Arabidopsis thaliana: one gene and its partner. The protein of the gene in region 1 interacts with the protein of each later gene in a pairwise test. Each region holds a gene or a part of one and is shown in the gene's direction. Other genes may lie near its edges.

Evidence for each region.
Region 2: the proteins of RPK1 (region 1) and YSL3 interact in a protein complementation assay, tested with the Arabidopsis thaliana proteins (one large-scale study listed by BioGRID).

The regions. Positions count from the first base shown.
Region 1 is NC_003070.9:26,036,759-26,048,239, reverse strand, and holds RPK1 (receptor-like protein kinase 1), read left to right. Parts: upstream 1-5,537; 5' UTR 5,538-5,740; coding exon 5,741-7,363; 3' UTR 7,364-7,551; downstream 7,552-11,481. Other genes in the region: AT1G69290 (Pentatricopeptide repeat (PPR) superfamily protein), read left to right, coding at 1-868; AT1G69280 (uncharacterized protein), read left to right, coding at 1,570-2,384, 2,468-2,755, 2,851-2,950; AFP1 (ABI five binding protein), read right to left, coding at 7,670-8,031, 8,251-8,926. UniProt on the Arabidopsis thaliana protein: Involved in the main abscisic acid-mediated (ABA) signaling pathway and in early ABA perception.
Region 2 is NC_003076.8:21,749,875-21,763,168, forward strand, and holds YSL3 (YELLOW STRIPE like 3), read left to right. Parts: upstream 1-5,376; 5' UTR 5,377-5,851; exon of another isoform or gene 5,852-5,949; 5' UTR 5,950-6,029; intron 6,030-6,118; exon of another isoform or gene 6,119-6,143; 5' UTR 6,144-6,206; coding exon 6,207-6,579; exon of another isoform or gene 6,580-6,674; coding exon 6,675-6,850; intron 6,851-7,084; coding exon 7,085-7,182; intron 7,183-7,271; coding exon 7,272-7,406; intron 7,407-7,490; coding exon 7,491-7,680; intron 7,681-7,768; coding exon 7,769-7,886; intron 7,887-7,964; coding exon 7,965-8,902; 3' UTR 8,903-9,059; downstream 9,060-13,294. Other genes in the region: AT5G53540 (P-loop containing nucleoside triphosphate hydrolases superfamily protein), read right to left, coding at 30-325, 409-567, 635-935, 1,019-1,225; CB5-E (cytochrome B5), read left to right, coding at 9,754-9,840, 10,074-10,140, 10,229-10,479; AT5G53570 (Ypt/Rab-GAP domain of gyp1p superfamily protein), read right to left, coding at 11,050-12,223, 12,311-12,364, 12,453-12,502, 12,591-12,723, 12,967-13,214. UniProt on the Arabidopsis thaliana protein: May be involved in the lateral transport of nicotianamine-chelated metals in the vasculature.

The DNA.
Region 1 (11,481 bases):
TGCTTGTGTAAATCTTGGTTTCTCGGATAAAGCACATAGTATTCTCGAGGAAATGATTGCTCAGGGAGGAGGATCTGTAGGGATTGGGGTTTATGTGCCAATCTTAAAAGCTTATTGCAAAGAGTACAGAACAGCTGAAGCTACTCAGCTGGTTACAGAGATCAGCAGCTCTGGGCTTCAATTAGACGTCGAGATCTCTAACGCTTTGATCGAAGCTTCCATGACGAATCAGGATTTTATATCTGCGTTTACATTGTTTAGGGATATGAGAGAAAATAGAGTGGTGGATTTGAAGGGGAGTTACTTAACAATAATGACAGGTCTTCTTGAGAACCAGAGACCTGAGTTAATGGCAGCGTTTCTAGACGAAGTTGTTGAAGACCCTCGTGTTGAAGTGAATTCCCATGATTGGAATTCGATTATTCATGCCTTTTGTAAATCCGGGCGTCTGGAAGATGCACGGAGGACATTCAGAAGGATGGTTTTCCTACGTTATGAGCCAAACAACCAGACATACTTATCTTTGATTAATGGATATGTGAGCGGGGAAAAGTACTTTAACGTCCTGCTCTTGTGGAACGAGATTAAAGGTAAGATATCGTCGGTGGAGGCAGAGAAGAGGTCCAGACTAGATCATGCTCTAGTCGATGCATTCTTGTACGCATTGGTGAAAGGAGGATTCTTTGATGCAGCGATGCAAGTGGTAGAGAAATCTCAGGAGATGAAGATATTTGTGGATAAGTGGAGGTATAAGCAAGCGTTCATGGAGACTCACAAGAAACTCAGATTGCCAAAGCTGAGGAAGAGGAACTACAAGAAAATGGAATCTCTTGTTGCCTTCAAGAACTGGGCTGGTCTCAACACATGATACAAGCTTTCAGGACACAAGCCAAAGACATCTCTATCATTGATGTATTGTCGTCTCTTTTTGGTGTTGTGACACTTGGCATTGCTATTAATAGAAAGCGTCAGATAGGAGAGTTTTTAGTTAAAAAAAGATGGCGCCAAAAGCAGCCAATATAGATTTAAGACTAGTCAATCCCTAAATTGTAGGAATGCCTTTGGTTTATAGAAATCTTCAGGCAAAACAAAAAAGAAAGACCAAATGAATTATTTCTTTCAATTTTCTTCAAACTTTTGAAAGGATTTGCCCTTTTCGTGTGTTTGTTTTATGAATTGCTCATTGCTTCAATCTAATATCAAGGATAGATTTTACAGTTTCCTATATCGGAGGTTCGTTGCCTTTATTTATTAAACCTTCATGAGTTCATCATTATATTTCTGTTGTTTGTTCATTTGGTTTCATTTCTCAAAATTGTATTAAGTTTCATTTTGGTTTATAGACAGAGAAGAATCGTGAAGAGAAGATTACTAACAGAGGGGGCCATTGCGGGTAAAGTATAAGGTTCGAAGAGCTAAGGTTCATTGGAACTTTACATGGATATTCATAGGTATAAGTAAGTCCTCTGTTTTACTATATCATTTTTCTTTATGCTGCTTTACATCTGATTGGTTCGTTGAATCACTCTACGATGTAGCTTATGTAAGTTTTCATTGTTTCTTTTAGCTATGGAAACGAATCACAAGAAAGGAAAAAATAGAAAGGCTTATCATCTAAAGAAGCATAGAAAATCAGATAATAATAAGAGTTTTGAGCCAAGACCAACGATCAAAGAAGTGAATGATGAGAAGCCGGTTTTGTTCCAATTGGGGAGCATTGCTAGTTATGGGGTCAGTGATGTTCGTCTCGAGGAAGATCCAGAGATCACCACCAGAAGATCCACATCTCTTTCCTTGTCTCCAACCTCTTCAGAGGATATACACGAGATCAATGCAAAAGGAAGGAAATCAAACTTATCTTTCGATAGTAGCCTACACAATAAGGAGCTCTTTAGCCTGTCTTCTAAATTATTCGAGTTACAAGGTTCATCAGACACACCAGGGTCACAAGTGTCTGGTGTAACGAATGCTTCAGTGGAGCCTTTGCTTTTATCTCCTTCGATTCAAATGATGGATAGAGAAGGATCTGATCAACCTGAGAGAAACTCGTTACCTACCTTGGAGAAGAATTTGAGCACACTTTCAAATGATTCTCTGTTTAGTCTCAGCATAGGTGATAACACGATAGCAAGAGATGAGTTGTTTAGTTACCGTGATTTCAAGTCTGGAGAGATTACAAAATCGGGAGAGCTGTTATCGTTCTGCCCTGCTATTCATGGTCCGGCTGATTCTTCTGATCTAGGAAAGAGCTTTGATATGGAGGACAAAGCGAGTGGCGAATGTGAGGATAAGTCATCGAACTCAAATGTATCGTGGAGGAACATCGGAGATTGCAATAACTCAGACGAAACACCAAGCAGCACACAGTCATTTTCATATCCAATGTGAGCTTCGTTACTTTATACCATCATCTCATTGTAGTAGTCTTCAAAAACTTTATTTTTGATTAATTGTTCTTTTCATGAAGAACGAAAAAGAAGAAGAAGAAAAAGAAAGCAACAAAGAAGAAGATGACACAGCAGCAGCAACAGCAGAAGCAGAAGAAGCGATGTTCTTGGTTGTGTTGCAAGAACACTGGACCTTGTTTCTCCTGCTGCAGATTGCCAAGTTGTGGTTACAACTTCTTTTGCTGCAAACGGTTAAAATGTTGCCCGTGCTTCTCCTGGTGCAGATGGCCAAGTTGTGATTACAATTCTTCTTGTGGCTGGCTCTTCTGCTGCCATTGGAGCTGTTGGAGTTGCTGTTGCTGTTCCAGGTAGATCGCTACTTCCGGATTCTCACATTGGTCTTCTTTAATCTGTGATTGTTTCAATCGAAAAGCCTACCCGAGTTTTCTTTGTGTTGCTACAGTTCTTCAAAGAAGGTAGTAGATGATGAGATGACTAGAGGGAATGACGAACAGAGACTGCAAAAAGCAGAGTTTAAAACATCTCATCAATGGTTTTGTTGATTTCCTTGTTGCTCTTCTTCTTAACTTTAGATTAGATTCTTACGCAACTCTGTTTTAATCTTTAGCTAAAGGTAAAAAAAAATAGATTTTACAAATGTAAAAGTTTCTTGCCTATTGAGAGCAGTTACCCAAAAAAAAAAAAAAAAAAAACAATATAGTTTTTCTGTTATCATCATCAAGTCAGGTGAAGTTTGAAAATAGTATTAGCATTATAAGGTTTAAATAAAGATTAGGTCTGAAGTCACAATATTCACAAATCTTATGGTAGATGAATATCAAACAAAATTCAACATAGATTTACCCATTGATTTTATATTTCTTTCATTGGCCGTCGAGAGTTTAGATAGAAGTGTTTTATTTTATCAAGTAAAATTTTATATAAGCTATTATTAGTTATCAACTTGATATGTCAAAAGGAGAAAGGAGTTGCTACACTTTAATTATCGGAAACAAAAGGTTTAATAAAGATTAAAGGTCACATGCATAGTCATTTATCTTGTGGTAAATATGTGTAAAAACAACATAGATCATCCATTGAGGTTGATGTATATTTGAATGCACGTCGACATCTTAGATATGTAAGTGTTTTAACTTCTCAAGTAAAAAAAAGATTTAGCTAGAAGTAATCAACTTGATTTGTCAAAAGGAGAAAGGAATAATCAATTTGACTTTGTTGGCTAATATAAACAAAATATATGTAAGAAGTATTAACACTAAATTGTCGGCAAAACGTGAAAATGTGTGTAATTCTTCCCATCTCATTACTGTTTTAACAGTTTTCCCTATAGATCTGATTTCTATTATTACGGTATTAATCTATATATTTACAAATTCAATAGAAAAATAAAAAATATTGACACTTATCATTTTTTTTGCCTTGTCATTTAGAAGGAATTAATAACTAGATTTTATATATGTGTAAAATGAGCTATGTATCTTTATATAACTCCTTGTTTTGGAACTTTGTACATATAATTATTTTATTGACAATAACATGAAATTAGTGAGTTTCATCATAGGTTATAAACTTATAATTAAATCTTTCAACGGCATTAACACAAATCATTTATTTTTACTAAATCACACATTTTCTTATTAATATTGCAAACTATATTTCTTTCTACTACTCCTAAAGGTCCATGTTTTTGTCAAGTGTTTCAAAATGATCGGAATTCTAAAGAACGGCATCATTACTATATTTCAAGATATTTGACAATATATTAATTTACAATTAAAGTGGTATATAAATTAGCAGATTAACAGAAAATAATCAATGAGATGTGTGAGTCTTTATTATACATTTTTCACATGTTAATTTTTTAAGAATAAACACTTTTAAACAATAAAAATAAGTTATGTTTTTGTTATATATTACAACTTTTCACAATAAACTGTATTTTTGTAACGTTTTATTTTCTATTCATTCGTGCTTCCAGATAAACGTACTGTACTGTACGTCAATACAAAATCACGTTTCTTGTCTAATATTTTGTTATCTTTAGTAAATTATTACACTTGTTTACATCTCATTAATGAAAAGATCATTTATTTTCAGCTAAAAAAATTCTAGATCCACTTTTTGTTAGATGTTATTTTTTTCATTTTTGTTATAATTACTGTACAAAATGTCCCAAAATTTGTTAGATGTTCTTACCCATTGCATATGTTAACATTTTTATTTATTATGTGCAAAACATATGATAAGATATTGAACACATTGGTGAAAAAAAGAAAGATATTGAACACATTACAAGATTCTTTTTCTTGATATAAGATCTGCACAAGTACAACTGTGATTCCTTTTCTTTGTAAAGCGAAATCGTACTTTAGCTAGTTTCTTCTTCTAGTACTCAATTTGGTTAAAGGCATCAACGGTTACAATTCTAAAATATGGACATAAAGGAGTCGTGTGATATAAACAAAAAGAACAAAAACATTTGGACCATATATGTATTTCTGACGCAAAATGTAACGTCATAATGACGATGATACACAGAGGAATACACGTCTAACTTAAATAAAAATGAATCGTTATGAAAGAAACGATTTTGGAATCTAATCATGGACCAATAAAGAGACTAGTGCAGGTCCCACGACCTATCCCGCCTGGTCAAACCAGAAGCAGCCATGTGGTCTTTCACTTCTCTCTCTCTCTTACATTAATACATTCAGACATTGACTTCACTGGGTCCCACTCTTCTATAAAGTCTCTCTGACAACGACAAAATTTTAACGACAGAACCCGAGAGAGACACCGCTGAAAGTGAAACACTATCCTATTTATCTCTCACAAATACAAGCGACAATTTTAGAAATAAATAAGAAAAAGTTAAAATAATTTTTTATATAATTCTAATGGATAATATCTAAGTAATTTTTTCACTAGCATGTTTTGAAATTTCAATAATTTAAGGACGGAGAAAAAAAAAGAAGAAAAGTTAGAAAAGCTGAGAGATTTTTTTCTTTCTTTTTTTCCTCTTTTCCTCGAAATTCATTCTTCTTTGACTGTTTCCAATACGTTTAAGAACTTTTTTTAAATTTATTATGTGTCTTGATAATAGAGCCATAGAAAAAAAATTGTTTGTTTAATGTCATTTTCTTTTTGAGTAAAGAAACTTTCTTCTTTTGCAACTTGAAAATTTTCGATTTCGAGAGCGAAGGAAGAGAGAGAGAGAGGGAGAGATCAAAAAAATTTGTGAAAAAAGAGATTTATTTTAGGGTTTTGTTGATTTTCTTTGTTCATTTTGCCGTCGTCTCTTTCTCTTTCTCTTGTGAAGAAAAAGAAGAAAAATGAAACTTCTGGGTTTGGTCTTCTTGCTGTTTAATCTGTTTATGTTTTCGTTTTCTCGGAAACTTTTAACCGAGAGTGGTGGTGGTCTCCACGACGAAGCTGCTCTGTTGAAGTTGAAGAGTAGTTTCTTGGATCCAAATGGAGTTCTGTCTAGCTGGGTTTCCGACAGCTCATCAAACCATTGTTCTTGGTACGGTGTCTCTTGCAACTCTGATTCGAGAGTCGTTTCTTTAATTCTCAGAGGCTGTGATGAGCTTGAAGGTAGTGGTGTTCTTCATCTCCCAGATTTGTCTTCTTGTTCTTCAAGTAAAAGAAGACTTGGTGGTGTAATCTCTCCTGTTGTTGGAGATTTGTCTGAAATTAGGGTTTTATCTCTGTCTTTTAATGATCTTAGAGGTGAGATTCCAAAGGAGATTTGGGGGTTGGAGAAATTAGAGATTCTTGATCTTAAAGGTAACAACTTTATCGGTGGAATTAGGGTTGTTGATAATGTTGTTCTTAGGAAACTTATGAGTTTTGAGGATGAAGATGAAATTGGTCCAAGCTCAGCTGATGATGATTCTCCTGGTAAATCTGGATTGTATCCGATTGAGATAGCTTCTATTGTGTCAGCTTCAGTGATTGTCTTTGTGCTTCTTGTTCTTGTGATCTTGTTCATCTACACGAGGAAATGGAAACGAAACTCTCAGGTTCAGGTAGATGAGATCAAGGAGATTAAAGTGTTTGTTGACATTGGTATTCCTCTGACGTATGAGATCATTGTTAGAGCTACTGGTTACTTTAGTAACTCTAACTGTATCGGTCACGGCGGTTTCGGTTCGACTTATAAAGCAGAGGTGTCTCCAACGAATGTGTTTGCTGTTAAAAGACTCTCTGTTGGGAGGTTTCAAGGTGATCAACAGTTTCATGCTGAGATCTCTGCTCTTGAGATGGTTAGGCATCCGAATCTTGTTATGTTAATCGGTTACCATGCGAGCGAAACCGAGATGTTTCTTATTTACAACTACTTATCTGGAGGAAACCTTCAAGATTTCATTAAAGAGAGATCGAAAGCTGCTATTGAGTGGAAGGTACTTCACAAGATTGCTCTTGATGTAGCGCGTGCTCTCTCCTATCTTCACGAACAGTGTTCTCCTAAAGTCTTGCATAGAGATATCAAACCGAGTAACATACTCTTGGACAACAACTACAACGCTTATCTATCTGATTTCGGACTCTCGAAACTCTTGGGAACTTCGCAGTCTCATGTCACAACTGGTGTGGCTGGAACATTCGGATATGTAGCTCCAGAGTACGCAATGACATGCCGAGTCTCGGAGAAAGCAGATGTTTACAGCTATGGGATAGTCCTCTTGGAGCTGATATCGGACAAACGAGCTCTGGATCCTTCTTTCTCATCGCATGAGAACGGGTTCAACATTGTCTCGTGGGCTCATATGATGTTGAGTCAAGGCAAAGCGAAAGAAGTCTTCACCACAGGACTATGGGAGACTGGTCCTCCAGACGATTTGGTCGAGGTTCTGCATTTGGCACTCAAATGCACCGTCGATAGCCTCTCGATAAGGCCGACAATGAAACAAGCTGTAAGACTGCTGAAACGAATCCAGCCTTCTAGATTGTGATACAAAGCTAGAAGAAAGGTGTTTTTAGAGGATTTGTACAGCAGCAAACAAGTGCCTAGCCATTAGAATCTTTCTCAAGTCTGTTTTTTATATTTTCAGTGCTAGGGAGGTTTTTCATATGCATCATCAAAATGTTATTCTCAGTCTACTCTCTTGAAAACTGATATAAATGATGTTTCTTTCTCCTTAATTCTCTCTGTATAAAGCAGGTAAAAAATACATATATGACTTAAAAATTGAGAAATGACCAGAGACTCTTAAAAACATCTTCTCTAAACAAGGGTTGGTTAGAGGGTTTTTGGTCTATTATAAGAGATTAGAAGGAGAAGAAGTGTTGACAACAATGTGTCTAAGAGGATGATCTACATGAGGACCACCGGCATGTTTAACGAAATCCGCCGGAGACAAGAAATCGCCATGGCAAACACACATGATCCTAACTTCTTCTCCACTGCCGTATCTATAAAGAATCCCATCAACTCTCTTCCCATTTGGTCCATCTCCTTTGGTAAACACACATGGCATCTCACTTTTTCCTTTCCCTTGTGGCTCCATCTTCATGTTCATGTCCACTGAACTCAATCTTCTCAAACGATTTGTTGGCTTTGTCGTTGTTTCTTGTTGTGGCTGTGTAGTTGATGGTAAGCTTCTTGCTTCGTCACTGGACGCTGTATTCACCAAAACATTACATGTTCATTAAGTAACATTGATCCATTATCAATATTAAACGACCTTTCGGGTTGCGAAAAGGCGAAAACTTTGCATTAAGCTATCTAGCAAAAGTAATCTAAATGATATGTTACATCAAATTACTTTTAACTCAAGTTTCAACAAATTTAAAAGATTCATGTTAATGATTGAGCAGATTAGAGAGATTAGTACTATACCTTTAGTTTCCAACTCGGAGACGCTCGAAGAACTTCCGGCGGCTCTTCCTCCGCCTAGAGATTCACCGGAAACTTGTAGTGAATCGAGACCAGCACTGTGCTGCCGCAAAAGCCCGCTTTTGTTAGCAGTCGCTGACCACCGTGGAAGTCCTGACGATGGTCTACCTCGCCGTCTCGAAGCGGTGGCAGTAGCAGCTTCTTCCGGATTATTACTGTTTCCTCCGCCGACGCCAGTACGAAGCTTCTCGCTTCTCCGTCTCTTGGCTGCCATTCTTCTCAAAGTCTGCATCTCTTTCCTCTTCCTCCACTCTTCCTCCGACTCTGCCGGCAACGACGTCGTTCTCATCAAACCCGTACCCCGAGTCGCTCCCGCCACCGTCTCCGTCGAAACCTTAGTTGTTATCATCGCCGCCGCTTGATGATGATGATGATCTTCACGAAACAGAGGCATCGTTACAACAACGGAAGAAGATCTCACAAGCTTATTACTCTTATCAACACCAAATCTTCCACCAAGAGATAAGCCAAGATTTAACTCGATCTCATCATCATCTTCTTCTTCATCATCATCTTCACCTTCAACAGAGTTAGAGATAAATCTCTGAAGCAGATCTCTTGGAAACACACAACTATTACTTCTCGCCATTTCTTTACTTCTCTCGTTTGCTTCCGCCATTAACAAAAAAGAATACTGGAAGCTTATGAAACAGTAATCAGATTTTTATGCCACGATCCATAATAATCCAATATTTTCACAAGAACTGAAAAAAAAGTTTCTCTTTAGTCCATTGACAAAAATTGACGAGACACGTTTCGTTACTATTGATTACAAATGGGGGAGACAGAAGAAAAAAAAGTTTAAATGGATGAGACAGAGAAAGAGAACTCAAATTTGAGCACAAGTCGGAATATTCACTACCATTTACTTGACAATACCTTATTTAGTTCTTCATCATTAACATGTACAATTAAAAACGAAATCCCTGTAATTATTATTTTCTATTTACTCTTAAAAATATTCACCAAAAAATGGAATTGTAATCAAATTAGATTCTTTCCTATATCAAAAAAATAATATAAAAAAGTTTATCTATTAATTAATTAATTATTATGTTGTTGAGGAAAATTAATAAAATAAAGTTGAGTAAGAATAAAATAAATGTTGGGTTTTGGGCACGTAGAAGAAAAGAAAGCGACGAGAATAGCCAATGTGTGAAAAGTGCCAAGTGGCAATCAGATGATCCCTCGAGTCGACACGTTTTTTGTACGGCTTTGTATTTTTTTATTTTAATTTCTTTGTCTCCTTACTTTTTGCCACTATTATTGCTTCTTTCTTTGCTCCTACTACTAGTATTTAAAAAAACAGAATTCAGTTTTTTCTTATTATGAAATAAATTGTTATAATATTCGCTGGCAAGTTACGTGTTAGCATCAGCGTTAAAAACGGAGAAGGTGACATGTGTCGGAGGAGACACGTGTTGCTCTGTTTCGGTTTAAGTTCAGAGGAATGGGCTTATGGTTCTTTGTCTCAGGTCCTACAATGCGTAAACATTCCAATACGTATTTATCATTTTTATAACTTGTTCTATAGTGTGTTGTTATTCATGATTGGTTCTATTCTTTTCAAAATAGAAATAATGTGTCTATTTTGAGAGAAATTAAATTAAAATCATTGATAATCGACCAAGTATTCAATTAGTAATAGTTTCAACTGATTGTTATAAAATAAGACTTCATATTTACTTGACAACTCAAAATGGAGGAACTCAAAATTATTAATAGTTAGTTTTTTTTCTGTCGACGTCCTCCTCCAAACTCAAATTAATGATTTTATATTCCATGGCAAATCTAGATATCCAAATTATATATTGACAAACAAAAAAAGAATCAATTCTTGAAAATTCAATTTCCTCTGTAACCTTAATCGAACGTGATATATCTTCATCGCATGAACCAATATTATTTTTATCATAACAAAGTAATTTATTTTATAATCGTAAGTGTTACCAATTGGCTAACGGGTAAGGTACGTGGTCCTCCCCGGCCAGCTCAGAGATCTGAGAGACCTCCTCTTACACGGTGACAACGAACTGTCGCGGGAACGTGAAGCATGTCAGAGCTCGGACTTGTAAACACGTGTCCTAGTGGGTGTGTGGATCCTCTTGCGTGTCTAATAACATCCTCCGATCCACACTTGTTGTATTATTCCCAAATCATCTACATGTTAGAACGTGAATCATGCTTTTACACTCAGAGGATCCTTTTGAACCAGATTATAAATTATTGAGTAGAGAGAGTCTAATTGTAGAAACTAGAAAGGCCAGAGTCATTTTATTTTTTTCACAAGTGACGATTTTATTAAGATGAACATAACATACAACGAACGAGCAAAAGCCCAACAACATAAAACGGTTTACAGAGACTATTTTAAGTCCAACTGGCCCAACATTACATTTAGAGAAGAAGATTGGATCAAGCTAATATATCTCAGACACGTGTTAGCATCGAATACACATGTAACCTGAGGAGACGAAAGTTTTCCATCTATCATCCTTCGCCGTGAAGCCATCGATTCTGCCGGAAACTGAAACTAAGTCGAATGAAACTCGAAGATTAGCTTCATCTGAATTTTTCCAACAACTACAAAACAGAAGTAAGGATCTAATACGGATCTATTAATCTCAAAAGAGAAAAAAGATCTTCGATTAACCACCTCTGTTACTTAGACCCAATCGAAGCTTGAATATAAGAGATACAGCTAAAGGCAATCATAATAAGCTGAGGAAAGAGCTTTGAATCTTCATCTCAAAAACGCAAACTGCCTAATTATTATCCGTAAACCTTAAACTCAAAGGATAGGTTGGAATTAGATCTAATTAAGCAAGCTTGGACTGAAAACCAACGCCATCACCAACACACATACCCAATGAATTCTGATCTAAAGACAATCAACGGTCGAAACGTAACCGTGATATAAACCAAAAGGAAAAGAAAACCGAACTACGCCGGATTAACACCGTGAGCTAGCCATCACCGCTGAAAGAGCCGATGATGCTAGACAAGGGCCGACCATGTACTGCTGTGGAAGCCAATATATGTCAGACGAAAGCCGGATACTACACCGGACGGCAATTCAACCATCACCGACGACATCAATTTACCGTCGTCGAAAATTTTGGTTTGATTCTCTCTCTGAAAATTTTGAGAGAGAGAAGAGAGAGAGGGCCAGAG
Region 2 (13,294 bases), on another chromosome or scaffold:
CATTCCCTAAAAAACGGTTTATCACTTACAGAAACTCGTTTGCCCTCTTTCTCTGCCTCTAGGATTTCTCGGATTGGGAAGTAAGCTGCTTTTTTGCAGAGTTCAAAAATATCTGATCCGGTATAGTCCTCACATAAACGAGCTATACGATCATAGTTAATATCTGATTCAACACTCTCTCCTTTCAAAACAACTTTCAATATTTGCGCTCTCTCCTGGCAATCAGGCATCCCGATCTCAAATGACTGAGGAAAACGCCTCAATATCGCTTCATCGAGCTCTGATGGTCTGTTAGTTGCAGCAAGAACCATCACCCTCGCATTCTCTATAAAACCAAAACATCAAACCTCAGACTGTACATAGTTCACATGGCTAAACAGAACAATGAGGACAAGAATTTCAACTCACGGTCTGTAGTAAATCCATCCCATAAAGCCATAAACTCGGTCTTCATATTCGACATTGCTTCATTATCAGTCGACCGTCGCTGGCCAAGAAAGCTATCCACCTCATCGATAAAAATAATAGCAGGTTGGAGTTTATACGCCAAGCTAAACACAGCAGACACTGAAGAAAACATAAATCAGTAACACAACCAATAGACAGGTAATGTAATCTCCAAATCTACACCTACCAAGCTTCTGTGCATCACCAAACCACTTGCTCATCAAATTAGAAACCTTTACATTAATAAAAACAGCTTCAGACTCTCTCGCAATCGCTTTAGCAAGCATAGTCTTCCCAGTTCCAGGAGGACCATACAACAAAACACCCTTTTGAGGACCCAGTAACTTCCCATAAGCAAAAAGCTCAGGTCTTTTCAATGGTAGAATCACAAGCTCATACAAAGCTTGCTTAATTGACTCCAATCCTCCAATAGAACCAAATTCAACATCTATGTGTAATGGGTTTATTACATCACACGCAATCACATCCTGTTTTCACAATAAACAATTGAAAAGATTGGATTTTGAATACGAATTCAATCAATTAGAGAACTGTATAGAATCAAAATTACCTCGTATTGATTGGTTTGAATAAGAGGACGACCCAAACGTTTGGCGATTTCTCTTTTGTGCTCGAGAGACTTTTTAGCGGCGTCACGGTTCGGGTCAAGTTGACGGAGACCAACGTAGAGAACCAAGCTACTCAATGCAGCACTAGCGACGTAAAGTATCAATTGTTCTATGAAATTTGAATCCTTTCTCCCTGAAGATCTCTTCATATCTTTGGATTTGGGAATCAGAGAAGATTCAAAACGAAACCCTAATTCTTGAAGAGCGTTCGTTTGGGGTTGAGGATAGGGAAAGGAAGAAGAAAGCTCTAAACTGGAAATTACAGGAAAAGAACAGTTGGTGGCATTATCGTAATATCGTTGAGAATTGTGTGCATATTGGTAATTGTTTTGGAACTGGCTTAATAGGCCTTGTGTGGTGTTTCGCCAATGGATCTGAAATTTAAAGCCCTTCGAAAGCCCAATTTCTAATATTATAAGATTTTGTGAATTCTGTTTTTGTTACAAAAGTAGCATTTGGAAAAAGTCGACTCCTGAAAAATAGTCTCTGTAGTATTTCCTTAATTCCTTTATATATCTATTATTCAATACTCACTACACAATTATTTATTTCTAGATAAGATGCAAGACATACTATAGCTACTACAAGTGCAAGAGTGTTTATCGAGTTATCCTTACACGTTTCGTTGTTTCATCTCCCGTGCACTCTTTTTCGTACTATAATGGAAGTGAAAGAGTCATTGAATGATATATGTAAGAGATTTGACCTTAGCATGCATCTAACACGTCAACTTCAAACTAAATTAATATATCACAAATCAAATCCAAAACGTAAAATAATGTTCTCCTCGTCATGACTATATCTCTATGGATTATTCAACTTCTTTTACTTTGATCGTGAGGAATTTCATATGGAGATAAACTTTTTTTTCGTCAATCTTGTACAGTTAAACATTTTCCGCTAGTTAAAGAAATTCTCGTAACGGAGTATGAAATTTTTTGTGACCACATATCATCGTAGAAATTTAGACAAACAAAATTAAGAGGATGAGAGACTCGATGACTTTTATTGTATTTCAATAACAATAGAACCATGAAAAAAATACGTGCACTTACACAAGAAGCAGCCAAGCAGGTGGCCTAGAATAAAAAAAGGCGTTTGGTGTTCAATATTTTTCATCCATTTGATATTTTTATTTCTTCTCTTTCTACATACATCGAATGTTTATCTTTTAAACTTACCAAATGGATTAAAATATCGAATACAAAAGCGCCATCAATGATGATCAGAAAGTGGTTTTGGCATGGGAATCAAAATGCACGTGGCTTTCCGAGAAAGAGCGCGTTAGACAAACGCAGATCTAAAAGACCACGTGAGAATCAGCAAACAAGCAAGGTTGTGAACAATACACTGACTTCAAAATTGCGTTTCTTCTCAACCGCATCCACCATGTTTTATCATTTATTCACCAGAAAAGAAAAAGAAACAGAGATGTTGATCATGCATGTTGTTACCATTCGAAACGCTAAATTTGTTTGAAACAAATAAAAAAGAGCACCAAGTTCTTAGCCTTCCACTTGTCATTTGTCACTTTATGTTTGGGTTCTGATATTCCATTTTTATGCTTTATATATCTCAAACCAAACACATATATAGTTGGGGATGCATTATTATCCACTAGAATATTAAGAATGTTGACTATAGACAACTGTATGACATTTGAGTCTTTGAGAACTGCGAAATGGATTGATCGATGAATTTTTTAAAAATGTAGACCTAACTATATAATATCTTACAACTTTTTTAGTTTGGCCTTCCATTATCAAATAGTCTAATATTTTTTTAATAAATAAATAATAAGACTAAATAATTTGGGAGACTGACCAAAATAACGAATATTATAAGATCGATGGAAAATGGTTTAGGAAAAAAAAAATTAGACTCCTTTTTAGTTTTTAGTTTACAAAAATACATTGATGGCTGCTAAAATACATATATCCAGACGGAACTGGGACATGTAGGGATATTGAATGACAAAAGTACTTTGTGATAAGATATGAATAAATAAACCGAGCAAGTTGATAATATATTTTGTCAAATTCGTTGAAGCTAAATAAATATTACACTGTGAAAAATAAGTAGAATAGTGGTCCATACATTCTTACAGAATTTACTATATGTTGAATTCAAATCTCTCACAATGCTAATATCAATATAAATACGATAGAAAATGAAAATGACATGTTTTATTCTTCAATAACTGGTGTGTAAAAAAGTATCGTATGAAAATAACTGAAAGTGCCATTTTATACCAAATCATAGTTGCTTGGTGCGTATCGTTTGGCATAAAGTGAACTATAATTTAGATGTGAAGGTCCAATATTCCCAAGAGGCGAAGACAAAAATTGGGTAGACTTAAAAGAGTCAATTGATCAAACATGAACTGAACTTGGGTAAGATCATACTTTCAATCATTAGAAAGGATCCACCGAGAGGTCTAGCTATGAAGATAGGCATGGTCAAGCTGAGAAGGTTAGGACGTAATTAGTAAATCTTGGTTATAGATAGATAGTCATATGGTTGATCTTGCTTTCTCACACTTAACACCATCAGTTGAATCCAATGTTAAAAATAGGTAATTCTCAGATGCAGTACCTCATAAATGTTGTAAAAAAGTCATAAATAATTATTCAAAGGAATGCATGGAAGAAGTGAATTACATATTTTTAAAAAAAATATAGGAAAAGAAAAGTAAAGTTCGTACAAAAGAGAGTAGTATTATTCTCTTTTTCTTCTCCATAGGGCCTCGTAATATCTACTTAGCATACGAGGACACATTAATATTCGATCATGTATATATATGCCTACGACTACGAGACATTCGAAAGTTATTGTCTAGTGGTTTGTATTCACACAATTTCCGTGTTAACAGTTTTAGTTCCATTTCCTTCATATAGAGATCTAAATGATACTACTACATATCATTTAGTTTAAGGAAGGACGATGTAAGAAAATAAAAATCTAATATACGAGAGAATTGTAACACGTTCACTTCATAACTAGCTAGCTAGTGGTACTTACCAGTTACTACCCCAACTCTAGTCAACACTACATTAAATACTATAATGTGAACAAAATTATTTTGAACCAACGGCTGTTACAGTAGTTTATTCAACTTTATCAACCAATGCATTAAATTGAACATATTTCTGGCCGATTGAAATAGGTTGGGAACGATCTTATAAAATTCAGTCTTAAACAAGTCTTGGTTTTCAAAAATGCAAATTCATTCGTATGTTCTTGGCAAAAAATGGTTTAATTGGTTTGATCTGATCTTATCCTATCACGCAGGATTGGTGTAATATAACGCACCAAATTCGGCCAGGAAACGTCCGAATATAATAGTCCAATTCTACTTATGAATTTGACGTGTTGACGTAAAGAATCAAAAGTCGAACTTATTGAATAATTTATTCGACTTTAATTTTCTTTTGGGGTTTTGGTATGTTTGTGACCACATGGTATGGAGTTGACATTTACCATTTTCTTGATTGACTACCTAAGAAAATTTTAATTATTATTCACATTATGGAGAGTTATGTTTCCATATTTTGGCTTTAATATTAATCATGTGGTCAATAAAATAAAGAGGATAGTTATGGCATAAGATTGTCCATAATGTCATCATCTTGTTTAGTAAAAGACAGTCACATGAACCGGAATCTCGGTTTACCAAACTTTTCACTTTTTCAGTTTCACATGAATGTCACCAGATTCATTGAGTTAAACATGTATTTTAATACTATAAAAGGTTAATTAGTTATGATATCATATTTATGACTTTTAAAAGACTTTTGATATTGTAATCTGTAACTAGTTATAAGTTAACCATCTCTTATAATTAGAACAAAAAAAAACTTAATTATGGATGAACTGATTTTAATGGAAAAAATATTTAGAAATAGAAATACATTCATAATTTATATCTAAGTCTAACCAAAACACAAATCTAAAGTTACGAATAAATCATTTCAAGTGTAATTTTACTAACTATTTGACTCCTAATCTTATTTCATCACCTAAACTCCTAATTGTTATATATTTATGAGAGATAATGACATTTGTTCCTCTACATACTAATCTAATGGTTGAATAGTCATGTGTTTGACAAACTTATAAAGTTTGATTTTTCGTATGTGACATTTAGTTATACATCCATAAATTATATAACTTTCTTAGTGAGATATATGAAGGTTATATATGTGGAGTATATTCTTAATAATTAATTGTTACCCTACTTTTTTTCTTTTCGGTGACGTAACTTTTATAAAGTTTAACCCCTTAATGATTATTGTACTACATAAACCCCAAAACTCTTTTCTCTTTTCTTTTTTCTTTGTGTAGTACTGATATCAAGTCAACGTGCGGTACATAAGAACCCAAGATCCCATAAATAAATTCTTCTTGGTTTTAAGCTTTCTTCTTCATCTCTACTTCTCTATATAACTTTGAGTAGTCTCACCAAAGTCCATTTTTAAAAAATCAACTATACCATTTTTAGCTATTCTTTGGTCTTCGTTTCGTGTAAGCATTCAATGTTTTTTTTCTTTTATCTCTTTGGGAAACGGGAGTGTGGTCTTCGTGTGTGTGTCCCTGTTTCATTAACCAGTTACGTTTCATTCTCTTCTTTTCTTACGTTTACTACAGATTTCAGAAAGAAAAAAAAGTGTTTGAAGCAAAAGAGATTAATGGCAGATTCTTGAGTCATTAACTTTTTTCTAATTCTTTTAATTAGATCTCTGAACATAAGAGATAACTTGCGTCATTATTCTATGGTTATAAAGATTATGCACTTGATTAAAATAATCTCTAGTTTTCCTTTTTCTCATTTGCTAAGCAACTGTTTCTTTTTCTTCTTCTTCTTCTTCTTCAGATAATTATGCTTGGGAGTGGAAAGCAAGAAAAATTCTAAACTTTATATAAAATTCCCAGAATCAATTGATCCAAAAAGAGGTACCATTTTTTTCCTCTCGTCATTTTCCATAAAAGTAAGCTTTTGATTGATATTTAATTATTAAAAGAATCTGTCTTTTGGGTTTTTGTTTTGACAAATTTTTGTTTTTTCAGTATTGTCAAAAAAGATAATCAAGAAGAAGAAACTCTGTTTTTTTGTTCTGTTCTTGGAAAAAAATGAGGAGTATGATGATGGAGAGAGAGGGAAGGAATGAGATAGAAAGAGAAGTAATAGATGACTTGGAAGAGACGCAAAACGAAGGAGATGATTTCAAGTCAATACCTCCATGGAAGGAACAAATCACTTTCAGAGGAATTGTTGCAAGTTTAATCATTGGTATAATCTACAGTGTGATCGTGATGAAACTAAACCTAACAACAGGTTTGGTCCCAAACCTAAATGTCTCTGCAGCACTTTTAGCCTTTGTCTTCCTTAGAAGCTGGACCAAGCTGTTGACCAAAGCCGGGATTGTGACTAAACCGTTCACTAAACAAGAGAACACTGTTGTCCAAACATGTGCTGTTGCTTGTTACAGCATTGCAGTTGGAGGTTCAGTGAATTTTGACCAGTTGTTTTGACTGTTTGATCAGTTTTTGTTTGGGGTTGGATCATTGTTTTGAGCTATGTGTTTGTGTGATTTGCAGGTGGGTTTGGTTCATACCTTCTTGGTTTGAACAGAATTACTTATGAACAGTCAGGAGGAACTCACACTGATGGGAATTATCCGGAAGGCACGAAAGAGCCTGGAATCGGTTGGATGACCGCTTTCTTGTTCTTTACTTGCTTTGTTGGTCTTTTAGCATTGGTTCCTCTAAGAAAGGTAGAGATTATTTAAGATTCTGTCTCATTGAATTTGTAGTTAGAGATGTTGCGGTAGGCCAAAGTTTGCGGGTCAGTCCGGCCCATATAAGTGTGATATGGGCCTGGCCAAACCCGCTATAGCCAACATAGGACGGAGATTAATATTGGCCAAGTTTGGACTATTAATCCCCTGTTGGCTGGTTTGGGTCTACATTGCTAAGTGTTCATTATGCTTCTTTTTTTGGTTAACCAGATCATGATCATAGACTACAAGCTGACATATCCAAGTGGAACAGCTACCGCGGTTTTGATCAACGGTTTCCACACTCCTAAAGGCAATAAAATGGCCAAGTATTAACTCGATTTTTTGGCAGTCTCTTAGCTCTCTTTCACCACTAATTCTAGAGTTTTTGATTTAAATAAAATCTGTTTATATGCAGGAAACAAGTGTTTGGGTTTGTGAAGTACTTCTCATTTAGCTTCATTTGGGCTTTCTTCCAATGGTTCTTCTCTGGTGGTACAGAGTGCGGTTTCATTCAGTTTCCAACTTTCGGGTTAGAAGCTTTGAAGAACACGTGAGTATTATTCTTAGTTCTATTGACTGTTTATATATCAACAGATAGAAACAGAATCTTGATGATCTTGAAAAAACTTGACAGATTCTACTTCGACTTTAGCATGACATACGTTGGAGCAGGAATGATCTGTCCCCATATTGTCAATATATCTTTGCTTTTTGGCGCGGTTCTGTCTTGGGGAATCATGTGGCCACTCATTAAAGGTCTTAAAGGAGATTGGTTCCCATCAACTCTTCCTGAAAACAGCATGAAGAGTCTCAATGGTTACAAGGTTCCATACAAAAAACACTAGTACTCTACAATAAACTCCGCCCTTTCTTTCGCGTACTTTCGTTCTTAATTTGTTCATAACTCTTTAGGTGTTTATATCAATCTCATTGATCCTCGGAGACGGGCTTTACCAATTCATCAAGATACTTTTTAAGACAGGAATAAACATGTACGTCAAGTTAAACAATCGCAACTCTGGGAAATCTAGTAAGTATACACCAAAAAAACTATAGAAAAATCGTCATTTCAATAATGTATTATCTGATGTTCAAACGTAAATCGCAGATTCGGAGAAAGATAAGCAATCTATTGCAGATCTTAAAAGAGATGAGATCTTTGTAAGAGACAGCATTCCATTATGGGTTGCAGCAGTAGGATACGCAGCGTTCTCTGTTGTCTCGATCATCGCGATCCCTATAATGTTCCCCGAGCTGAAATGGTACTTCATAGTCGTAGCTTACATGTTAGCTCCATCGTTAGGTTTCAGTAACGCTTATGGAGCAGGGCTAACAGATATGAACATGGCTTATAACTATGGTAAAGTCGCTCTGTTTATCTTAGCCGCTATGGCAGGGAAACAAAATGGTGTAGTCGCGGGACTTGTCGGATGCGGGTTGATAAAATCGATTGTATCGATTTCTTCTGACCTAATGCACGATTTCAAGACAGGACATTTGACTCTGACTTCACCTAGGTCGATGCTTGTGAGTCAAGCGATCGGTACAGCGATCGGATGCGTTGTGGCGCCTCTAACTTTCTTCTTGTTTTATAAAGCTTTCGATGTCGGGAACCAGGAGGGAGAGTACAAAGCTCCTTACGCTTTGGTATACAGAAACATGGCAATTCTTGGAGTTGAAGGTTTCTCTGCTTTGCCTCAACATTGTTTACAGCTTTGTTACGGGTTTTTCGCATTCGCGGTGGCGGCAAATCTCGTTAGGGATAGGTTACCGGATAAGATAGGGAATTGGGTTCCATTACCGATGGCAATGGCGGTTCCGTTTCTTGTTGGAGGGTACTTTGCTATTGATATGTGTGTGGGAAGTTTGATTGTGTTTGCTTGGAATATGAGAGATCGAGTTAAAGCCGGTTTAATGGTACCGGCGGTTGCTTCCGGTTTGATATGTGGAGATGGTCTATGGATTTTGCCGTCGTCGGTTCTTGCTTTGGCCGGCGTTAGACCTCCTATATGTATGGGCTTCATGCCGAGTAAATATTCGAGTTAAAGATAGCTTTTTACGAGTTTTTACTTTTTTGTGTAGCGACAAAAAAATTAGCTAAAGAATTGTGGAAACAAAAAAAACAGTTTATATAGGAATTGTACTTTGTAAGTTTGTATACACAATAAAGTAATAAACTAGTCTCTCAATTCTATTTAAAAATCCATGTCCCAAGTAACTTCTCCCCAAAAAGAAACTCAATATTTTAGAATAAGGTCAAATGGAATTAAATTCCAGAAGATATTTGCCAAAATAGTGATAAAAATACGGTTAAATTGGTATATGTTTTTACTGACAAAAGGCAAGATTCTTCTATTTTAAGATTTATTTCTTTCTTTGAAATCTGCTAAACGTTGTTAGATCACACTTTATGTGTCTGTTTTTTTTTTTGTCAATTCAGCACACGTCATATTTGTATTTTTCAAAGTACCAAACGTGGACCAAAATAAAATCTCGTCAAAAATGGAAACCAAATTTTAATTTGATTTGCACAAAGCCCAATTTGATTTGTTTAAAGTCAAAGCCCAACTTGACCAAAACTACCCCTGCTCATCCAAACCCTAAGCAAAATATCGAGGGTAGTTTCGTATTTTGTTTATATTGAACACAATTAAGTAGGTGAGGAACCTCTATTTCTTCCGTCTTCTGCTGATTTCTGAGCTTCGGAGCTATCGAAAATTCTGAATCTGAAAGGGTAAAGATCCCATCTTTTTCCAAAAATCGATAAGGGAATTAGTATATTCGTTCATTCATCATCGTTCTGATGATTTCGATTTGAATCTGTATCTAGTACTCTGTATTATCAGAAATTTTGATTAGTAGCTTTGATGTGTTCTTGTTTTGCAGTTTGAGTGAAGATGTCTTCAGATCGGAAGGTTCTAAGTTTTGAAGAAGTTTCAAAGCACAACAAAACTAAGGATTGTTGGCTTATTATTTCCGGCAAGGTTAGATCTTGTCTCTTTGTTTGAGAACATCTCTGTTTTTTGACGAACTTAGTTCTCTTCCGCCATTGATTTGTGTCAAAGCTTCGATTTTAAAGTTGTAGAGTTGGATTGTTACTGTTAGAAGCTTTAATCGAGCCCCTCGTAGATTTAGTTGATTCTATGTTAATTCACACTAGAGAAACAGAGTTTGTGTCTACTACTTGGTTATGATCTGTGATTGTTGCGTTCTTTAGGTGTATGATGTGACTCCATTCATGGATGATCATCCTGGAGGCGATGAAGTCTTGTTGTCCTCAACAGGTATAAAACTTGTGTTTCTCTCTGATTCAAGGCGGATTTGAAGCGGCTCGGTGACTGTTTCTGTTCTGATGTGGTGTTTTGTTTGCAGGGAAAGATGCTACAAATGATTTTGAAGACGTTGGTCACAGCGACACTGCAAGGGACATGATGGACAAATATTTCATTGGTGAGATTGATTCGTCTAGTGTTCCAGCAACTAGGACATACGTTGCACCACAGCAACCAGCCTACAACCAAGACAAGACACCAGAATTCATTATCAAGATTCTTCAGTTCCTTGTTCCGATCTTGATCTTGGGATTGGCTCTTGTCGTCCGTCACTATACCAAGAAAGACTAGAAGAAGCCAAAGGCTTGCTTTGATGCTTGTCATTGAATATCTCTACCGATCTCTGTCTATCTCTCTTGCGAAAAAAAGTACTGTTACTGTTGTTTGGTCTTAGACTGATTCTTGTTGAAATTACGAACCAAAAATCATTGTGTTGCTACTAGTTTTACTGTGTTGAGTTTATGATGACAGTGTTTTCGACTTTGATGATATAATAAAAGACTGCTTGATTTGCCCAAACTTAAGCTGCTTGATAAAGAAGTGAGAAACTGGATTTCTACAATTGAACAAATATGTTTCATACAATTGTGGAAATGACAGTTTCAGACTCATCCGTTACATTTTAACAAGAATATTGCCTTGTCTTTTTCATTAGTACTACAATAAAAGCGATAAGGATAGTAGTATTGTGTTTTCTCTGTGTGATGAGTAAACAAAAAGAAAGAAGAAAGAAAGAGAGGAGTGAAAACGGTAAGAACCAAACCGCAACAAACTTTAAACCTTGAGAAAACGCAGCCAGACGAGTGCAAGGGCTTTTGTGTAGTGGAAACACTTCATTTCTGGCTTTGATCGACTTCTTCATCAAATACTCTGTGATTGAGAAAGAGTTTCAATCTTGTCGTGAAGCGTCACGACAAGATGATGGGCATCATCAAGAAGCTTCCAGACATTAAGCTGACCAGCCATGCTATTACACTCTTCCACAATCTCATCCATACTACTGTATTTCTGTATGATCAGTTTCCTACGTAGTACTAACGCCGCGATTGCATAGAGCAACAAATCATCCGTTGGCGGTGCTTGTTGCCGGATTCTGCTCCATGGCGACTTCCCAACTCCAGCTCTAATGGCAGCTTGATCAGCCCACATCACTTCCCAGAGACACAGCGTCTGTTCAAAACTCAACTCCCTCCTAAACATAACAAGCACCATCCTGTAAACGAAACTACAATCTTCTGCTTGAAGATTCTCCAAGTGTTTATAAAGCTGAGAGTCTTTATTTTTTATGATCTTTGATACAATGCTTAGCTGTCTTTGAATCCCTGCTTCGTCAAGCCTGAAATTGTGCCGAGCTTTCTTCATGAAACCAACAAAGCACCAGAAAGCCTCGTGATCCTCTGAGATCACAGCGAGGATTGGAGATAACAGATCACTCATTCCTTGACAGTAGCCTATCTCAGGATCATACATAGCATAAGCTTCAAGAATTGCAACTAACCGTGCTGCGTGGTATAGCCTGCAGCTTTCTAAGTGATCATAGTCTTTTAACCCGACAGATTCGGCTAACCTGCGAGCTTTGCTTTCTGTGATTGCTGTTGAATATGGAGAATAATTTGCCCATTCAGAATCCGCTCGTAAAGCATCAAGCCGGATGATACGTTGCCACGTAGAGAAATCTTCGTGTACCGCAACTTCTACTTGGACCTCAGAAGCAGCAGCTACAAGAAGAGAACTATTCTCTTCAGAATTGTTATTACTATTATCCTCCTCCGGCTTTTTTTCATCGCTGTGTGCAAAAGATGAGAGTAGTAAAACATCTTCATTATCTTCACAAGAGTCTGTATCAGAAGAATCAGTGTTCAAAGCAGAAACAACATCTTGACTTGTCATTGGTCCTGTAATCTTATAATCATCCACGAACCGAACACATTGACTGTTTGCCTCATCAGATGGAAGCTCCTCAAGATTATCGGTACTTCCATTACCGCACTTGAGAAGCATCTGACATCGTCTCTGTAGTTTCTCATACTCCTTCCTACAATTCAAAGATCCCAACAATGAAATTATCTATCAGCATCTAAATACAAACATTGACTATATATAGATCAAACTAAATACTAACCTTTTTTGAGTTTTCACTGCTTCTCTTTCTTCACTAGTACTATTCAAATCATAACTGCCATAAGAGAAAACAAGTTGAGAATCTCAACAGAGTGAATAAAAATAACCAAGACCATAAAGTCAAAACAAGAACAAACACTCACACTCCGAGTAAGAACAGCCACACTTCTGCACGAATACTTGGATCAACACCCTACAGAACCATAAGAACATAAATCAGAACCAGTAAAGAGACAAGTAAGAAACAAGACATACATATGGTCCTTGTTCAAAAGACTCACTCTGCTTCTAACTTTCTTCAGGAATCCAACTCCACCATCACGGAGTTTTCCCTCCGGTGTAAATAAACTCCTCCATTGATGTGGCGTCAATGCCCATTTTCTTTTCCGGCGAGACCACGGTGATTTCCGCCGGCTATAAACAAGTCAAGAGTCAACATTAGAAGCTTTTACAATATCAAAATCAACAACATTGATTGCCAAAATCAATCTAACAGCAAAACAAATAAACAATCCGAACAAACATAGAAACTTGTTAATCTTTATCATACTTTCCAAGTTGTGAACATTCAATCCGAACTCTATTATTGGATCAAAAAAGAGAATCTTTTAGATGCCATCTAAAATATTCCAAATCTAAAAGCTTTAGGCTACTCACCGATCGGAAGAAGTAACTGAAGACGGAGACGAAAGATTAGCCACAAAGAGAACCGACCGTAGATGGATCCACGACGACGAAGACGAAGAAGAATTAGAATTCGAATAAGAATTAGAATTAGAAGAAGGAGGTGAAGAAGAAGAAGAAGATGGTAACGAAGAAGAAGACGAAGAAGGTAACGAAGACGAAGAAGATGAATTCCCAGAAGACGTTGAAGTATAGCTTCTCCGTAACGCCTTCATCTGATTCTCTAAAAACTTAAACCTAAACCCCAAATCAAAATCAAAATCGAAATCAAAAAGTCTCCTGCTTTCATCAAAGATCTACA